4 linked regions of the Schizosaccharomyces pombe genome follow. The protein of the gene in region 1 purifies or fractionates together with the protein of each later gene. This does not show direct contact. Each region holds a gene or a part of one and is shown in the gene's direction. Other genes may lie near its edges. The genes, in order: cid14, grn1, SPOM_SPCC126.11C and nop2.

Region 1 (4,879 bases):
GCTCATTTTCCCAGCACGTAAAACGCGCCAAATATCTATATATTAGAATACCATACGAAAAACGGTAAAGTTTATACTACATTAGAAGGAACTTTAAGTTGGTTTTATTTAAATTAAAGATTGATTTTATTGCTGCTAAATAAGGAATTTCACATCTTTGGGGAATTGGTTAATTCATCATGGAAAGAGCTGAAAATGCTAGAATTATTCAAAAGCCTATGACTCGTAGGACTGTGGACTATGGATCAGGGCTATCAAAGTATATTGTCAATCGACATTTGCGTAGCAATCGCTATCACATACATGTACCGAGACCAAATCCGAATCAAATAATTAACTTGTATCCCCCTTATGAATACAAGTATAATAACACATCTTCCTTGTGCACCAAATATATTCATACGTCTGCAAATAAAGCTAGACATGTTATTAACGTTGTGCGCTGGACTCCAGATGGTCGAAGACTGTTGACAGGTTCTTCAACTGGTGAATTTACTCTGTGGAATGGTCTCACATTTAATTTTGAGTTAATTAATCAGAGTCATGATTATGCCGTTCGTTGTGCTGAATGGAGTACAGATGGGCGCTGGCTTATTTCCGGCGATGGAGGAGGCATGGTAAAGTATTTTGAACCGAATTTAAACAATGTCAAAATTGTTCAAGCTCATGAAATGGAAGTTAGAGATGTTGCCTTTTCACCCAATGATAGCAAATTTGTCACAGCGAGTGATGATGGTTCATTAAAAGTATGGAATTTCCATATGAGTACTGAAGAGCTGAAACTAACTGGTCATGGATGGGATGTAAAAACCGTCGATTGGCATCCTTCAAAAGGTCTCTTGGCTTCTGGTTCTAAAGACAATTTAGTGAAATTTTGGGATCCAAGAACCGGTACATGTATTGCGACTTTGCATGGTCATAAAAACACAATAATGCAAGCATCTTTTCAGAAAAATTTTGGATCAAATTATTTGGCTACAGTCTCTAGGGATAGCACTTGTCGAGTATTTGACTTACGTGCCATGAAGGACGTTCGAGTTTTACGTGGTCATGAAAAGGACGTAAACTGCGTAACATGGCATCCTCTTTATCCTAATTTGCTTACTACTGGTGGCTCCGATGGAAGTGTCAATCATTATTCACTTGATGAACCTCCATTACTTTCTCAGCAAAAGTATCATGAAAAGCATCCAAATGTTACTCTTTCCGCGTCTTCTTATTTACTATACCCTACTGCTGAAATTCCATTTGCTCATGATTTGGGTATTTGGAGTATGCAATATCATCCTCTTGGACATCTTTTATGTACAGGTTCAAATGATAAAACTACACGTTTTTGGTCAAGATCTCGCCCAGATGACAAGGAATCCACCATGGATCGCCATCATTTAGGTGAAGAACAGTCTGAGGCCATGCTAAGTCAGAGAAAAGCAGCGATCGAAGAAGACGATAATTATGAACCTGACGAAAACCCTCTCACCGAAACATTAGCAAATGCCCATAATCCCCAATTTTCTGGAGTACTTAATCTTCCGGGTTTAGGGACTATGCCCTCCTTTCCATCGCCTTATCAACATGGACAACCTCAAATTCCCGGTATGCTTCATGCATCTTTGAGCAATTCATACGCTGAGCCGTCAACTCAAAACTCTTTTATCCCAGGTCTCACCTCAAAGTCACAAGATGGGTATCCTCAAAACTATCGATAATACATTTCTTTGTTATTTGAAAAACATATTTACTTGGCATTAATTAGATTTAAAAAAAAAAAAATTCACACCGCAGCTCACTGGATTCATACTAAAAATTGGGTTTGGCAAAGCAAAACCTACACTAATTTTTTTTTTAATGATAACTAAGCAACAATTTACATTATACCATTCATACTCGACAAGCACTTCTATATCTCGCTCTCCATACAAGATGTTCCCCAAATTGAATTACCGAGTGTCAACGATTTTCGTAAATAAATCGTTAATAGTTAGGTATGCTACATTTAGTAAGTTGTTCACCACCAAATTTTCAAAGATCTTATGTGATTAATAATTGTGGTTCAATTAGTCATATATTGATTTTTATAAGAATTCTACAAGATAGGTATAGAAAACCATTCTATCCATGTCTTAGAGATGGGTAAAAAAAGCGTGTCATTTAACCGCAATAATTATAAAAAGCGTAAAAATGAGAGAACTGAACCACTTCCAAGGAGGATTTTTAAAAACGATAAACCGAGTAAATTTAAATCTAAAAGAAAGGAAAAGGATAAAAATTCAGACGCTTATGACGAAATGCTTCTGAATAACAATTTTACGCTTCTGGATCAAGAAGAACCCATGGTTGAAATTGGAAGTAAAAAATCACGTAATGATAATGATTCAGAAGGAATACGTGATAAAGGTGGAGTAGAAATTTCAAACAAAAACGATCCATATATTCAATTTGGAAAAGCCGATCCATTAGAGCCGCTGGAAAAACCTGATTTACCAGAGGAAGCAATAAAACGTGGTGAACCTACCATTCTTTTAGGTATACCAAAAAGAGAAGGTAGAAAAACTAACCCTGTACACGACAAGGCTGTCGAAAATAATTCTGATTTTATCAAGTTCGATTGGAACAGCGATGAAGACGAGGATAGTGTTAGTAATGATAAAAGCAAGAATAATGAGTCCTTAAAAAAGTCTTCTAAAAATGAGATCCCTGGCTTTATGCGTCAACGAGGCCGATTTTTTCATGAAGCAAATGAAAAATCGGATTCTAACCGTAAACGAAAACGCCAAGCGTATGAGCTTGATTCTCAATCATGCCCTTGGCACCGTCAGTATAAGGTAGAGCGAGAAGTCTCTAGAATTTTTCACCAAGACATTCTTCACTTTATTGACTATATTACTCCGACTCCTGAAGAGCATGCGGTTCGGAAGACGCTTGTTTCTCGTATAAATCAAGCTGTCTTGCAAAAATGGCCAGATGTATCACTTTATGTTTTTGGAAGTTTTGAAACCAAATTATATTTACCTACTTCAGACCTTGATCTTGTAATAATATCACCTGAGCATCATTATCGGGGTACAAAAAAAGATATGTTTGTTCTTGCTCATCATCTAAAGAAGCTAAAACTTGCTTCTGAAGTCCAGGTCATTACTACTGCTAACGTTCCAATCATCAAGTTCGTTGATCCGTTAACCAAAGTTCATGTTGACATATCTTTTAATCAACCTGGAGGTTTGAAGACATGTCTGGTAGTGAACGGTTTCATGAAAAAATACCCTGCTCTTAGGCCGTTAGTAATAATTATTAAACATTTTTTGAACATGCGAGCGCTAAACGAAGTCTTCTTGGGCGGATTAAGTAGCTATGCGATTGTTTGTTTGGTTGTTTCTTTTCTTCAATTACACCCTAGACTTAGTACAGGTTCTATGCGTGAAGAAGACAATTTTGGTGTTTTGCTGCTAGAGTTTTTGGAGTTGTACGGAAAACAATTTTATTATGATGCTGTCGGTATCGCTGTTCACAATGGTGGTTTTTATTTTTCAAAAAAGAAGATGGGTTGGCTGAAGCCAAACCAGCCTTATTTGCTTTCAATCCAAGATCCGGTAGATTTCCAAAATGATGTTTCTAAATCTAGTCGTGGATTATTACGCGTAAAGGCTACATTTGCAAATGGCTTTGATTTGCTAACTAGTAAATTATACGCACTCGCATCTCGTATAGAAAGAGAGGGTGTCAATCGAGTCAAAGATTTCCCTAGTATCCTAAGTACCATATTATCAGTTGATGAAGGGGTTCGTCAACATCGTGAGCATATGTTAAAATGTTATAAGAATAATCCAGTTCCTTTAGAACCTTTAGTGGAAGTGGATGCTTTAGCAAGTATTGATGTCGACAAGCTTCCATTGCAAGACGTTGGTTTGCAATATGTTGAGGATGAATCCGATTCAGACGAAACAGATGCTGCAAAGGATGATTTGTTTAAAGTAAATGAATCAATTGAAACCAACGGCCATGAAAATTTTCAGAAGCAAGCTTTGACATCTACGGGAGAGCAGTCCTCCTCTAATTCTCGAGCTAATCCCAGTAAATTATTTAACATAAGCAGTGACGATTCGGAAGACGAAGTACCTATTATTGAGGACACCACTGCTTCAGATGAAGAATCTCGAGCGAAAAAAATACGCAAACGTTTTTAGTTAATTTACATGTAAAATACCAGGTTATATAGAGGGATAAAAGGTTTTATTATCAATTATGATTATAGTTTGATAATTGTATTAATAAATTATCTTTATAGATTATACTTACGATTTAGCCAGTAAACTCGAATACCAGTAATAAATTAATCAACACCTTAAACTCACTATGGATCTGTAGTAATTTTGCATAAACGATGAAACTAGTTAAGAAATTACGATTCGGCGAGAGGAAATTTGATGATAGAATGGTAAGTAAATATGCCATAAATAAGAAGCACGAATCCCAAGAATTGAAGTAAATGGAATGACTCCATCCCCATTGCCATAGCAATAATCCAAATTCCGAATGTTCGAGCAATATCTAAAAGAGATCGGGTAGTAGCTGAGTGAAGTTTTGTAATGGCTAAGCCGGAAACGTTGAAAAAACTAAGGTTGGAACGTTAGTAAATACGAATGGTCAATTTTTTAACATGAACTTACGCAATAGATACCAAAATAACTCCAGAAATAACATAGAGTGCAGGGACTTCATTAAATCGAGATATAACGTGTGAATAGTCAAACCACCCGTGGTATCCAGCAGTAGTAGAACCGATAAAATAGTAAGAAATAATCATTCCTAAAAGGACAAAAAATACGCCATAAGTACCTTCATAAGCAACTAATTCTGAAGGGTCGACTTGAATAAACGA
Region 2 (3,842 bases), on another chromosome or scaffold:
CTTGATGATTTAAACATGTTGGAAGAACCTGAACATCATGATAATTCAAAAAAAGAATCTACAAATCTTGATGATTCAAATATGTTGGAAGAACCTAAACATCATGATAATTCAAATAAAGAATCTACAAATCTTGATGATTTAAACATGTCGGAAGAACCTAAACATCATGATAGTTCAAATAAAGAATCTACAAATCTTGATAATTCAAATATGGATGAATCTGAAAATCAGAAAAATTTTAAAATTGAAGAACCCAAACCTTCTGGTGATTTTAGAAACGAAGGACCTAAACAGTGTGATGATTCGAAAATTGAAAAACCTGAGCTGCACGTTAATTCAAAAATTGAAGAACCTATACATCGCATTGATTCAGAGCATAATGAACCTGAGTATCACACTGAATCAAAAAATGAAGAGTCTGAACATAATACTAAATCAATCAGGGAGGAACCGATACATCATGTTGATTCAAAAAATGAAGAACCTGTTTACTCCAAAATTCCCGAAAAAATGGGTGATGAATTTTCAGAAAATAGTCTTTCAAAATCTGATTCTGCAGTAAAACAGGAGGGTAATTTGTTGATTCATCCAAATAACAGCCTAAAAGATACCGCACCTTCAAAATGCAAAGAACCTCCAGTTGATGAAGCATTAAGTAAAAAGGAAATTAGTGATGACATTGCTCAAATCACGAGTGTAACCCCCATAACAGAAAAGATTGAGGACAAAGATAAATACATAAGTGAAGTAATTGACACGTATGGCAAACTAGCGGATGGTTTTGAATATCGAGCTAAAACATTTTGCCTAGAAGGACGTGGCAAAGTGTTGTATATGCTTGGTACAGAATGCTCAAGATTACTCGGCTTTAAGGATAGTTACTTCATGTTTCATAAGACGCCATCTTTACGAAAAGTACTTACAACACAAAGTGAGAGGGACCAAATGGTTGAAATGGGTTTGTTGGCATCTAATTTTAGATTTCGACAACTAAGCATTGTTCCAGCTAGACAAATGTTTTTGGCATTCGGTGCTAGAATATTGATGAAGGGAACGATAGATCCAGAGAGTCATAAAGCTCTTATTGAAAAAAACATTAGCTGGGCTGACGATGAGTATTATCATATGGATGTCATGGCTAATGGAAGCACTCGTTCTTCCTCTGTAAAGCTTGAGCTAAAAAGTATGGATAATCAAAATTCACCCTCACCATTTCAAGGTAAGGATATTTTGACGCTTGCTCAGGGTGCTTCTTTTTACAATTCTAAAGTCATGAGGACAAGAAATCTAAGGAAAGAAGCAAGGTTAAGTTATTATACAAAATTACGAGGTGTCAACAGATCTGTTTCATGACTTTATATTAAAAATTATTAATTGCATTGCTGAGCTATCATATTTTCGATCAAGTGGATTTAGGCTAGTTGCTATTGGTTTCTTTAATTTAATCTAAATACATAATATTTTTTACTTTTCTATAACTCTTTTCACAAATACTGAACAACATTTCAAAGATCACTAGCTTTTAAAATACTGAAGCATTGCTAAACTAAGGAAATCTTTCTAAATGTGAATATAAATTACTAATTAGCTTCAACTTTAAAAATAACGAGGTACAATCCAAAATTGTTACATATCGTAAATTAAGTTAATGTACTGTTCCGTACTATAGCATTTGGGGTTAAAAAAGAATAATCGGTAATGTTTTTTCTCTAGACAACCAACTGTAAAATTTGTAACTACAGCATTTTTTACAATGGTTTCCTTAAGTAAGTATATGCACGCGTAACTATTTCTAACTTATTTCTTAAGAAAAAAAGAGTAAAAGAAGAACTACTCGTCTTCGTAGCAGAATTGAAAAGAAAGCTGCAGAGAGCAAACGCAAGCAAAAAAGAGCTGATAAAAAAAATCCGCAATGGAAAAGCAGAATTCCTAAAGATCCAGGTATTCCTAACTCATTCCCCTACAAGGATAAAATTCTTGCTGAGATCGAAGAACAGAAGCGCATTAGAGAAGAAGAAAAATTGGCTCGTCGTGCTTCAGGACAAGTTGATGCTGCAATGGAAGAGGAAGACGCTGTTGATGAAAATGGATCCCTAATGATTTCAAAGATAGCTGAGGCTGCACAAGCGTCTAACCCAGATGATGAGGAAGAGTTTGTGATGGAAGAAGACAACCTTGGAGAGGCCCCTTTATTAGTTGACTCCGAGTCTTATGAGGCATCAGTGAAGGCAGATACCTCTAGAAAGGCATATGATAAGGAGTTCAAAAAAGTTGTTGAAGCGTCAGATGTGATTCTTTACGTTCTTGACGCTCGTGATCCTGAAGGGACTCGTTCAAAAGACGTTGAACGTCAAGTTTTAGCATCTTCTGCTGAAGAAAAGCGTCTTATTTTCGTTATCAACAAAATTGACTTAGTACCATCAGAAGTACTCAACAAGTGGGTTACCTATCTCCGCAATTTCTTTCCTACGATTCCTATGCGTTCCGCTTCAGGATCTGGAAACTCAAATTTAAAGCACCAGTCGGCTTCTGCTAGTTCCACTATCTCCAATCTTCTTAAATCACTCAAGTCTTACTCAGCCAAGAAGAAGCTTAAAAGCTCTCTTACAGTCGGTGTAATTGGATACCCCAACGTTGGTAAATCATCTGTTATTAACGCTCTTGTCAACCGTTCTGCGAATGGTCGTTCTGCACCTTGTCCTGCCGGAAACGTTGCCGGAATGACTACTTCTTTGCGAGAGGTGAAGCTAGATAACAAATTACGTTTGGTCGATAGTCCTGGTATTGTTTTTCCTTCTAGTGATTCTAAAGACGATTTGTATCGTCTTGTAATGCTTAATGCTGTTTCATCCACCAAAGTTGATGATCCCGTTGCCGTTGCTTCTTACATTTTGCAATTCCTTAGCAGAGTTCCAGGACAATTGGAAAGAATGTTTCAAAGATATGAGCTTCCTCCTCTATTGAATACATCCGATATAGACACTGCTACTGATTTTTTAGTCAATATTGCTCGTAAGCGTGGTCGTCTAGGTCGCGGTGGAATTCCAAATCTTAACGCTGCTGCCAATATTGTCATTAATGACTGGCATGCTGGTCGTATCGAATGGTGGGCCGAGCCTGAGGTTATAAACGAAAAGAACTCATCTGAAGTTCAGGATACTCAAATCGTTACTGAGTGGGCCAAAGAATTTGACCTTAATGATTTTTGAGAGTTTTCAACTTACGAAAAAAGCTATTGTTGCTTAGAGCTTATATTTTGGGATTTGGTTTTCGGTTGCGGTTTTTCTTCGGGTTTTAAAAATCTTTAGGTGTTGATGGTTACTAGCTATTACTTTTTGAATTAATATATAAATAATTTTTTTTGCATATATGCCGTATTCTTGAATGTGTTGTTTTACATTTACTTGTAAAAGTAATGTTTGATATGGGAGAAGTTTTAAGTAATAGGTTCGCTAATACGGGAAATTATTAAATCAATGCATGCTGGCTTAAATAAAGTCAATTGAATATGTACGGAAAATGACATTGATACTAACGTGCAGTTATAAGTTTCATTTCATTTTTATATCAATTGATAGGATAAACACAAACAATTCTAACCATACTATTTTGCGCTACTACTGAATATGGCATAATATCAAATTAATCTGTTTAGCAGTTAATAATTATGTATATAAACTAAAGAATAAATAAAGTTACATACATTACCAAAGAAAAGAAAAAAAGCTTGTATATAAAAGAAGTAAACTATTTAATAAGCAATGATTTAAGACTTGATTCTTTTCAATTAACAATCGGCTAATAAATACACAAAAATTTTTTTTAAAAGCCTACTAGTA
Region 3 (3,395 bases), on another chromosome or scaffold:
GTTTTAAAAGGCTTCTTTGTTGGGGATCCTCCATCGTGATGGCTTTAAGCCCACGAAAGATAATGGGGTCTAGTTGTGAGTAAGTTGTGTAAACAATAAAAGTAGAAGGTTAACCGCCATACGATATGCTACAATAGATGATACAAGTTTATTTGAAATAGCTTCTTCAGCAACTTTCTCAGTCAAGTCAATCGTCAAAAGTACGGAACTTGCATTTGTTCTTGGGAAAGGAGCCTCAAGCAGAAGCCCAGTGTTGTCCCAAGAATCCGCCAATTTTGGATTATAGATGGACTCAACTACTTTTTTTAATTTGGAAGAAATATTTGCCTTAGACATATTTGGGGAAAGATACCATTAAACGCAGTGATTCCTGAACGACCGTAAGACCACGTTTACGACAACACTTAGTCCTAGGATATGCTTTCTCAAATCTGCTAAATTCTGTAGAGCATGAAGGAATTCTAGCAACGCGTAGCAATACACAATTTTAACTATGCAGTCCTGCGTATCGGTAAAAAAATATTGAACTGCATAGCGAGCATTAAAAAACGATTAGGTAGTACTTTATTATTTTACCGATATTTTTTTATCTATCCTAATACAGCTAAAAAAATCTACGCTTGCAAATGCCTCTATATAAGAAATGCTGAGTGTTAATTTCACAATTTGAATATTTACTTTGTTTATTAATTTCCTCTGTTTATAGAAAATATTTTTTCAGTCAAAGGAAGAGGCCATAGGCATTTCTATCCCATTTGTAAAAGAGCATCCAGTATTTAATGTTTGTAGTGCGTATTCTTCGGGACATGAAATAAATTCTTAGGAAAAAAAATCTCGTTTATTAAACGTACAAAACAATTTAGTGTCTAGTGTTCTAGTTCATCAAGTTTTTAAAAACGTTCGAATGCAATCTCATTATCATTCAATCGGTTCTAGTACTTCTTAGACTACTCGTTACATTCAAAACATATACATTGGTAATGCATTAATCGGTTTTTATATCTCCTCAAGCGTTAAAAATGCTACAGCTCACAGTTGCCGTGCAGAAAAAAACTGTAAAGAAAGAGTTGAAAGAAACAAGAACTAATATTTAAGAAGGAGCAGATTAATCTCCTTTGGATTTTAATGAACACATTAAATTGATTATCATATTGCTAATAGTACACTTCAAACATTTCAATATATAATATAACTGGACCTTTTGTGTCGGCTTTTTTTTTAATTGGTCTATATGACAATTATTTGTAAACAACTCTTTTTTTTCCTAAGGTCATTCCAAGGTCTATAGGAAGGATGAAATATGTATAATTTGGGAATCTTAATTGTTTAAAATGGTACTATGACCAACATGCATGCAAATATTCAAGATATTTCATCATCAAAAGATTGCAATATCTATTGAAAAATCTTGAAATAGGAGTAATGAATTGATTACATGACTAATTTTAAATAGAAGCTCAAGAAAAACAGTTAAACTTCTCAGGTTTTCTACCTGATATTCACTCTTGTTTATGTTCGATATAGGATCTCCCGTCTCACCTCCAATTCCTGCTACTAAGCAGCACTACCACCAACACGCACCTAATAAGTTCTCGTGGACGGATGGCAAAACGAGGCAACAAAAAGAAGCAAGAAGGTAAAATCGTAGCTGGAAACCCATAAAATAAAGCTAACATATTTTTACATAGCACCGCTGTCGCTAGGCAAACATACAGTTGGCGGACGTGTTGGGAAACCAACAAATGCTAAAACCGTATGCTTTTTATTTTTTCCAATGTTTTTTTACTCTAACAAATTGTGAAGGGATCAGCTTTAACTTCAGATAAAAGTTTGTTTGATAAACGTATTGTTAAGCAACTGAAGAATAATGAGCTTTTTAACCGTTTGACTCTCCCCTCGCAAGAACTAAGGGATGGTATAGTACGAGAAAATCAAACAAAGCCATCCAATTCTAATTCCCAAAGCAATGGTGCTATTTCGATCCGTGGTATCGCCGGACCCACTAACGTAGTTATTGAAAATCTTGCTCCCGGAACTTCTTCTGACGATGTCGCTGCTACGTTGCTTAATTTTGGGGAAATTTTGAATTGCCAAGTTAACGATTCTCAAGGAAAGGTGCGTGCTAGTGTTCGATTCAGTACCCTCGCAAGTGCTCAGCAAGTTGTCCAAAAGCTCGATGGCGTAACTGCTGATGGCTTTAAACTCTCTTGTTATATTAAAAAAAACAGTAAAAAGAGAAGAACTCAAAAGAAATGAACTTTTTGCAGCTGTTAGATTCTTTTCATACTTATTTTTTGCTTCCACTGAAGTGTACGTGACTTAATATGATACCTACTGTCCATATCGCTCTTCTGAAATACTCCTTCACGTTATCTGTAATTGGGAAACCTAGAGACTTACCAAAACTCATTCAAGTTTCTACCTTTTGATTTTAAATCAATTTCTGCCTTCCCTCAAACCAGTTCTTGTTATAAAGAATCTCATCGTATTTCTTATTCTGAAACTCTGTACATAACTCTTTAATCTTCACAAAGCGTTAAAAATCGGACGTTAATTCCTTCCCATTTTTCCTTTGAATGTATTCTTGGTGAGTAGCTTATTTGAAAAATTAAAATTTAAGTTGTTACAATTTACGAAATCAAGTTTTGTTTTTGTAGACCTTCTGTTGACATAGTAAATTGTTGATACCCTCGTTTCTACTGTTTTGAAAATTGGATTTGATTTTGACAATAATAGGGGTTTCTAGGAATATAAAATTAATTGCAATGATAAAATTAGTTTTATGGTCAAGTCATCGAAGCTGATTCTGGGTCATGCATATTAATCATATACAATATGAGTACTATGAGATCCATGTAAAGTATTCATTTCCATGAATGATTTTAAAATCGGCATAGATCCTCGGTATCACCGTGCGAATGCTTCTTAGTTTATGTCTAGTTAGCAAAAATAATTATAAGCGAAAAGCATGTGAGAGTGTAATAATCAATAATTTATTCATGAGCCGAAAAAATTTAAGTAAAGAGAATTTCAGACCAATGAGGAAATTGAAGAGGAAGATTGTTCGGTAGCAATTCGGGCCAAGCTTTTGAAATCGTTGCAACAATTTCGTTGAATAACAAACTATACCCCAAAGACGAAAAGTGAAGACCATCCGTGAATAGCAACTCGGGCGTGGGATAGGATTTCGTAATTTCATAAAGATTGATAAGACCTGCTGAATTAGCTTTAGATTTATTAAGGGTGTTCACTGTTTCAGAAGCAGCAATTACATATGGCTCTTGTTCACGTTTAAAACAAATGTCCTTTGTACATATACCGGGAGATACTATGATAATCTTAGAATGAGGAAATGGTCTGGTAAGTGCTAACAAATTGTTTTTAAATTCATCTAC
Region 4 (7,551 bases), on another chromosome or scaffold:
ATATTTCCGGTATTTATAAAACCCCGAGGCTGTATAGGACGGGGTGCATCGAGGGATGGAGAATATGTTTCGATCAATTCACCAAGGGATGAATTGAAACTTTTTTTCTCAGACCTGTCAGACGGTACCGGAACAGAATGTGATTTTTTAACAGGAGAGTCTCCTTGAACATGCTTTTTCGCAATTGCAGACCACGATTTAGGCGATTTTTCAGACTCTTTCGTCTTTGATGTGACCAGAGGCATTTGCACCGAAACCGACCAATCTAAATTCTTAGGCGAACGCCTTTTTCTAGCCTTTCGATGAGGAAATTCATGTTCAGAGCATGAGTACCATGGTAGCTAAACGTTAGTATAATCACAATTTTAATAAAACATACCAGTGAATTGATAATAAATTGATTTCGTGACGAATCACTTTCCAAAGACGCGCTGTCCGTTGCAGAGGTCAAATCTCGCATGGAAATACGCACACTCTAGCAAGATTGAACTCTTGTTTACTAATTTGATGGTTGGCTGTCGTTCGCTTTGCTCTTCAAAAGACTGTCCAAAACTTTTTTTAATATACACTATACCTCGTTAATTCTTCGTATTCCACCAAGTGTATTATGGTGATATTCCACTGTAAACACTTGACCGCCTAACTCAAATTCCTAATTATTTTTAGTTGTTCTTTTTTATTATTAATTATTGAATGTCCATGCCCATCTTTAGTTATTTTTAGAGAATACGGTATATTTACATATCTAAGTACCACTATATGTATCTTAAACCACAAAAGTGATACGAAAAGAGAAAAGTAAATAGTAAATTTTAAAATTCGATATTCTGCTGTTGTGTGAACTATATATAGGTCTTGAATATATATTGTCACTCATTTTACGCCGCAGCAAATTCAATCGTTAACCAAGTCTTAATGTGATCATAATTGAAATGATTAATTGTCAAGGAGGTGAAGTAAGATGAACGAGTAAATTAAGTGACTTTTTTAAGTAAGCTGAGCAGTAAAGTACGTAGCAAATTTTAAAAAAGATAAATATAACAATAGTCGTGAATTTTTAATAATGTTAACTATGCTGTTGCTATGCGGTATATCTTTTTGTGTTTCAGCAATGCAGTTTGAATATCTGTTTAACGATACATAGAACTGCGGCAATTTTCTCTTGCGATCTACAATATAGCGGGATGCAGTATATTTTTAACTGACAATGTTTATAGGAAGCTATTAGTATCGATCATCGATACAGCTAGGAACTGTACCTCGTTCCTCAGTTCAACTGTAGCTCTATTAATAATATTTCTATAAGTTGCTATCAACGTTGCATCTATGTAGATAGACGGATAGTTTATCCTCGTGTATCAATAAACGGATCTTAAGTATTTAAACATATGGCATATAGTGATACGCAACATAGTATGTCATAGCGTAGTGTAGTATTGCTTGAAAAAATTTAATGTTCTTTATCTTTCGTAAAAGTTTTTAACAAAACTCAGCGATGTGAATAGTGGAGGTTGGACTGAAAGAATGCCAGTGCCAAAATTTTTCCTCAGCCCAAATAAACGTTTTTGGACTTCATCACATATTTTCCATAAAAGATGGGAAGAAAACAGAAGTCTAAGCAAGGAATTCCCCCAACTTTAGAGGAAAATCATAATTCTTCTCATAAAGTGACAGAAAATGCAAAAAAGAGAAAGCATTCAAAAGAAAAACCACAAAATTCTCGGAAACGCCAATTAGCAGAAGAAAAGAAATCTTTGTTTGAAAATTCGGATTCTGAGAATGAAAAAGATCTTATTGATGCAGACGAATTTGAAGAGGCTGAAACTTTATCAGACTTGGAACATGACGAGGAACCCCAAACATTTGCTGACGAGTTTATCGATGATGAGGCTAAAGAATGTGAAGGGGAGGAAGAAGATTCTGTTTTTGATTCGGATGAAGAGCATGAGGTTAAGCCTATGTTTAGCGATGATTCTGGAGATGAAGAGGATTTGGAACTTGCGAATATGGAAGCCATGTCTCGCAAACTTGATGAGGAAGCGGAATTAGAGGAAAAAGAAGCCGAGGAAGAATTGCATACCAACATACATCCTGAGGCTCCTACTGTTCTTCCACCTATTGATGGTTTTACCGATAGCCAACCAATATCTACTCTTCCACAGGATTTGAGCCAAATTCAATTGCGGATACAGGAAATAGTCCGTGTTTTGAATGATTTTAAAAATTTGTGTGAACCTGGACGCAATCGTTCTGAATATGTTGATCAACTCTTAAATGATATATGTGCGTATTACGGTTATTCTCGCTTTCTTGCTGAGAAGTTATTTGAATTATTTTCAGTTTCTGAGGCTGTTGAGTTTTTTGAGGCAAATGAAATGCCTCGTCCTGTCACAATTCGTACCAATACTTTAAAAACCCAGCGACGAGAATTAGCCCAAGCATTAATTAATCGTGGTGTCAATTTGGAACCAATTGGTAAATGGTCCAAAGTAGGTCTCCAAGTATTCGAATCCCAGGTTCCAATCGGTGCGACACCCGAATATTTAGCTGGTCATTACATCCTGCAAGCTGCATCTTCCTTCTTGCCTGTAATGGCCCTTGCGCCTCAACCAAATGAACGTATCCTTGACATGTCCTCAGCACCTGGTGGTAAAGTCACTTATGTTGCTGCATTACAAAAGAATACTGGAATTATCTTTGCAAATGATTCTAACAAAGCTCGAACAAAGGCTCTTTCCGCTAACATTCATCGTTTAGGTGTACGTAATGCTATTGTATGTAATTACGATGGCCGCAAGTTTCCCAACGAAGTAATTGGCGGTTTTGACCGTGTTCTCCTTGACGCCCCATGTTCGGGTACTGGTGTTATATATAAAGATCAGTCTGTTAAAACTAACAAATCTGAAAGGGATTTTGATACTCTTAGCCATTTACAAAGGCAATTGCTTCTAAGCGCTATTGATTCTGTCAATGCTGACAGCAAAACCGGTGGTTTTATCGTGTATTCTACTTGCAGTATTACTGTTGACGAAGATGAAGCAGTTATTCAATATGCTTTAAAGAAGCGCCCTAATGTTAAGCTAGTGTCCACTGGACTTGAATTTGGACGTGAAGGGTTTACCCGTTTTCGTGAAAAAAGATTTCATCCAAGTCTAAAGTTAACTAGACGTTATTATCCTCATGTTCACAATATAGACGGTTTTTTCGTTGCCAAACTGAAAAAGATTTCTGATAAAATCCCTACTGTAAATGTGGCTGATGATATGAAGGATGGAACAAATAATGATGTTGAAATTGAAAAGAATTCTACTGAAATTGATAATATTACTTTCAATGATGAAGCCGATAAGGAGATTATCGAGCAGAATCGTCGCAAATGGTTGAAGTCTAAAGGTTATAAGGTTGCAAAAAAAAAGGATTAGAATAATTTTGGTTAGGTTGGGATTACACAATAAAAGGTAACTGAACATTGATTCGCGTGTTACTACAACAATTATATTAATAGGTTGTCGTAAAGAGCCGGTCTTTATATTTTTGTATCAATCCATCTGGTTGTCAAATCTCAATTCAGTGGAATATTTTATTATAAAGTATTCTGGAATTTTTAGAATAAACTACATATAAATAATAAGAAAGTGAAGTAAATTTGTGAGTTTACCGGTGTCTCTTTTTAGATGGTCTTTCTTCAAAAGCATCGTGCTTAGCATCTTCTTGACGTGCTTTACGCTCCAATTCATCCCAATCTTCACCACTTTCTTCATCCTCCACTTCGCTTTCACTGTAACCATCCTCTTCACTAGCATCTTCGCTGTACTCCTCAGATTCTTCTTCCTCTTCATCAGAAGGGTCGGCATCAGAAGCTTCATACTCAGAAACCTCTTCGACACTATCATCTCCTTCATCATCACTCGGAGCTCCCAAAAATCCCCATCCTCCTTCTTCAAAGAATGCAATGGGGTCCTCGTTGACAGTTTTCATAATCGTGGTCCAGTTCAAATTAAGAGGACCTTCATAGAAGCATATATCGCATGAATCGAGCCATTCCTTTACATTATCTAATTGCTCCATTGGAATTGTATTGATATGAATCGGAGGGCGGCGGAAGTCTTGAAAGATGAAAACCAAATCAAAATTTTTTAAACCAAATTGTACACGCTCCAAGTGTGCAATTTCAATTTCGTTTAGTGTAATTACAGTAAATGGTGTGTCTGTCAATTGAACTAGGCAATCAGTAGTCGGCTGCAATAAAACATTGGAACGGAAGGGAACACCATTGAATGCAAGTTCGCGAAATGGAATGTCTAATTCAATTCGTCCCTCACTTGCTTCAGCGATTTTTTCAGCAAATGATTTAAATTCGCGATCTAATTGAGCACGACGCCGTCTTTCTTCTTGTTCTTGCTCCAATTCATCTTCATCACCATACATGTATTTCCGCTTCTTGTTTCCAGTTTCGTCAAACTGAATATCAGAAACTTCGCGATAAAATTGCACGTCCTGGGTCTTCCTTTTTCCCACCATGATCGGAGCTTTCAGATGAACATGAATAAGAACGATAAGCTCGCCTTCACATGGCTGGAAAAAGAGATGCTTCATATTAGAAAACAAAAGATCAATGTGGCTATCTGAACGTAATGGCGATTGATACCGAATACCATTTTGGTGTATCTCAATGAATCCAGGCAACCGTTTCCCGTCAATAGCAGGGCGAACGTAAACATCATTTATATGAGCAGGTCTCTTGTTCTTTATTTCAATTAATTTATCTTGCTCAATAACATCAGCAAACTCCTTACGTTCAGTTTCACGCTTGGTAGCTGCTTTCTTCATATCTTGGATGTCCTTGAATACTTGCGACATTCTAGAATTATTTGAACTTCTGAAAGTAAAGCTTCGTATGAATTGGGCATTAGGGTCCTCAAACGGTAACTCATCCTTTTTACCGCCAATCTGGCCAGGACTTACGAAATTTAGTCGTAAATACACAAAATTTCCCTCATCGTTTTTACTAGCATTTTTTAAAGTAGATATATGGAACGGGACAGGCCGACCGAAAATGGGTAAAATAATACTTTGAGCTCGATAATCTACTAGAATACGTAACTCACCAATTGCTTGTGGAAGTTGCGAGTCACGCTTGTACGACTCAAATCGTTTGACAGTGGGTTTTTCGATGCCGCTAGACGGAACAGAACCTTGAGCAAATCGTTGCAATCCCTCAGCCTGTTTTCGCGATGCTAGTTGCTTTTGATGCTCAACACGCCTCTTTTCAGCAGAATCATCCAAGTCTCTGGTTTCACTTCGAGTCTTTCCTTTATGACTTGATATAGTTGCCGTTCCCCGAGTAGGTGGTTTGCGTGGCTTTACGCCGTCTTCAAGAGAAGAATCATCTTCACCAAAGAAGTAGGATATATCACCTTGAGCTTTTGGAGAATCAGTAAATACGATTGGATCACTTCTTGTTATTTGAATTGTGTCAATCAATAAAAGAGCATACTCTTTAGACTGAGAATTTTTAGGATGAGGATTAATCAAATTCCCAAATCCAATGCTAAGATTTAGAGTCATCCCGGCTTGAAGAACGCGTGGGTTTTTGGCATTTACTAAAAGTGAAGATTCGCGAAATTCAATGCCAATGCCGGCACCTAGATTTCTTACAAAATTAGGTTCGAGATCAGGACGTTTAGCACGTATAAGACCCAAAATTTTCGTATATATGTCCCCAATAACAGCGCCATCTCTGCAGTATTCGAACAACTTTTTCTGAAGCGCTACTAAAAAAGAGTAATTTTTCTGTTGTTCGGAATCAGGATCAAATAAATAAGTGCGACCAACATTAGAACAATACGATTTGTAGCGAAACCCTAAAGAGCATAGGACGACGTCCCCATGAAGATTTCTATCATCTGTTATAGCAGAAGGCTTCAAATCATAACTACCCCCCGATTGAATAATGGGAGTATAACACCACTCTAGTTGATCCAAGTCTATGTCTCCTAGTTTCAAAGATTTTGTTTGAAAAAAAGCCTCGTTATCAATAAGGCTTTCCATCTGATCCGAAAACTTAGAGTGAGTTATTTTTTTTCCTTGGTCAATATAAGTCGAAAGTTCATCAACAAAATATTTACTCATAACCGCAACACTAACCCGCGATGCTCCTTTTATATTAGCAAGTTCTTGTTCGTCCTTTATAGCAAGACACTTTGCTAAGCCAAGCGATGCATCCACAAGATTAAATTCTGATTTCACTGGTTCAAAAATTGAGTCCCATTCATTAATGAATTTTCCTTGTGTTTTATCCTTAGGAAATACTCCGACCTTTTTATTGGTGGCTCTAATATACTCTATTATTTTTTCAAAAAGCTTTTTATTTTCCTCAGCATCTTTCGTTCTCTTCAAGATGTTAACGTCAGCTGCAGCCCCCTTGGTTTCAGCCAATTTCGTTAACATATTGGCCTTGTTAACTGATGTAAGGATTGTGATTCGATGCTTTTCAAGAAGTATTAAAGTCGATGGAAATTCATAACCCAAGAGCCATGTATGTAGTGCAGTGGACTTTTGATATGGATTCGTATCATCATGAGCCCCTACTGTTACTAAAATACTGTCGCAGTCTTGAAACAGCGTCTTTCCGTCTTCCTCATTCTTCCAGGAGGTAAGAAGTATGCCCAAGCGTTTATGAAATGTAATTTCGTCTATTTCATATTCAGCCATTTTACCTTTAATTAACGATTTAAGATATATTCACTCTTTAGCGAATAGTTATTTTATCTGAAAGGGCAAAAAGGCTTTTTCTTACAAAATTTCTTAAAATTTTGTAAAAAAGAAACAGGAATTGTTTTATTTTTTTTTTATTGATTGATAGCTTTTTTTGATATCTTGTGGATGGAGGTGGGTAAGTGGTAGTACTTTTGAATGTAGATATATAGGGCTGGGATTTCTGCGACGCGACTCGACTTACGCTGCATGTGTTCTAGCTTGATTATTTGAGCTTGTTAATGTTTATAATAGACCACAAGCATCATAAAAAAATAAAATTTATTTATTTATTTTTTGGTTCTTCAAGAGCAGGATGAATATCACGCTTTGCTGTATATAATCGTAAACGGTTGGACAAGCTTTATAATTTTTGGAGCACGAATACTATACATACATGTCTGAATACGTCTACGTACATATATGAGCTGTAGTAATTTAAAAAATCATTTACCTACGTCAAGCAATCCAAAGACAATAGATATTACTTAATGCTTTAGTTATTGAAAAGTGGCACAAATTCTGGAGCACTCAGCTTTAAACGGATTAAATTGATTTGCTTGGTAAAATGAACTGAGTAGAACAAATTATAAAACTACAACGCAAAACTAGTAAGCCATTTATAAAGATCATTTTTACCCGGTATACCTTTGCTTTAGATGAAACTAATTTTGAAATGCACCATTAAAAATAAGGTATATTAAGTGGTTTGTAACCCTTTTACGCGACTAACCAGTTAAATACCAATTTTATCTTAAAAGTATATACGGTATTATCCCCATGAAATTTTTAAAA

The links.
Region 2: the proteins of cid14 (region 1) and grn1 purify together in Schizosaccharomyces pombe (affinity purification with mass spectrometry, with the first as the bait; one study listed by BioGRID). This does not show direct contact.
Region 3: the proteins of cid14 (region 1) and SPOM_SPCC126.11C purify together in Schizosaccharomyces pombe (affinity purification with mass spectrometry, with the first as the bait; one study listed by BioGRID). This does not show direct contact.
Region 4: the proteins of cid14 (region 1) and nop2 purify together in Schizosaccharomyces pombe (affinity purification with western blotting; 2 studies listed by BioGRID, with this or other methods). This does not show direct contact.

What each region holds. Positions count from the first base shown.
Region 1 is NC_003424.3:319,795-324,673, forward strand, and holds cid14 (TRAMP complex poly(A) polymerase subunit Cid14), read left to right. Parts: upstream 1-2,010; 5' UTR 2,011-2,129; coding exon 2,130-4,184; 3' UTR 4,185-4,335; downstream 4,336-4,879. Other genes in the region: mRNA cleavage and polyadenylation specificity factor complex, WD repeat protein Pfs2, read left to right, coding at 180-1,709; gms2 (NST UDP-galactose transporter), read right to left, coding at 4,400-4,613, 4,668-4,879. UniProt on the Schizosaccharomyces pombe protein: Required for 3' polyadenylation of the 5.8S and 25S rRNAs as a prelude to their degradation in the exosome. Involved in the nucleolar organization to ensure faithful chromosome segregation during mitosis.
Region 2 is NC_003423.3:3,966,070-3,969,911, reverse strand, and holds grn1 (GTPase Grn1), read left to right. Parts: upstream 1-1,714; 5' UTR 1,715-1,756; coding exon 1,757-1,769; intron 1,770-1,812; coding exon 1,813-3,212; 3' UTR 3,213-3,329; downstream 3,330-3,842. Other genes in the region: SWI/SNF complex subunit Snf59, read left to right, coding at 1-1,356. UniProt on the Schizosaccharomyces pombe protein: Required for optimal growth. Required for normal processing of ribosomal pre-rRNA. Required for nuclear export of ribosomal protein rpl2501.
Region 3 is NC_003421.2:2,135,062-2,138,456, reverse strand, and holds SPOM_SPCC126.11C (rrm type RNA-binding protein), read left to right. Parts: upstream 1-1,556; 5' UTR 1,557-1,602; coding exon 1,603-1,636; intron 1,637-1,688; coding exon 1,689-1,753; intron 1,754-1,803; coding exon 1,804-2,256; 3' UTR 2,257-2,853; downstream 2,854-3,395. Other genes in the region: SPOM_SPCC126.12 (NGG1 interacting factor 3 family protein), read right to left, coding at 1-69, 123-336; isoamyl acetate hydrolytic enzyme Iah1, read right to left, coding at 3,015-3,395.
Region 4 is NC_003423.3:3,670,622-3,678,172, reverse strand, and holds nop2 (RNA methyltransferase Nop2), read left to right. Parts: upstream 1-1,548; 5' UTR 1,549-1,595; coding exon 1,596-3,422; 3' UTR 3,423-3,654; coding exon of another isoform or gene 3,655-6,714; 3' UTR 6,715-7,013; downstream 7,014-7,551. Other genes in the region: ubiquitin hydrolase Ubp3, read right to left, coding at 1-341, 380-460; histone H2A-H2B chaperone, FACT complex subunit Spt16, read right to left, coding at 3,655-6,714. UniProt on the Schizosaccharomyces pombe protein: S-adenosyl-L-methionine-dependent methyltransferase that specifically methylates the C(5) position of a cytosine in 25S rRNA. Required for 60S ribosomal subunit synthesis and processing.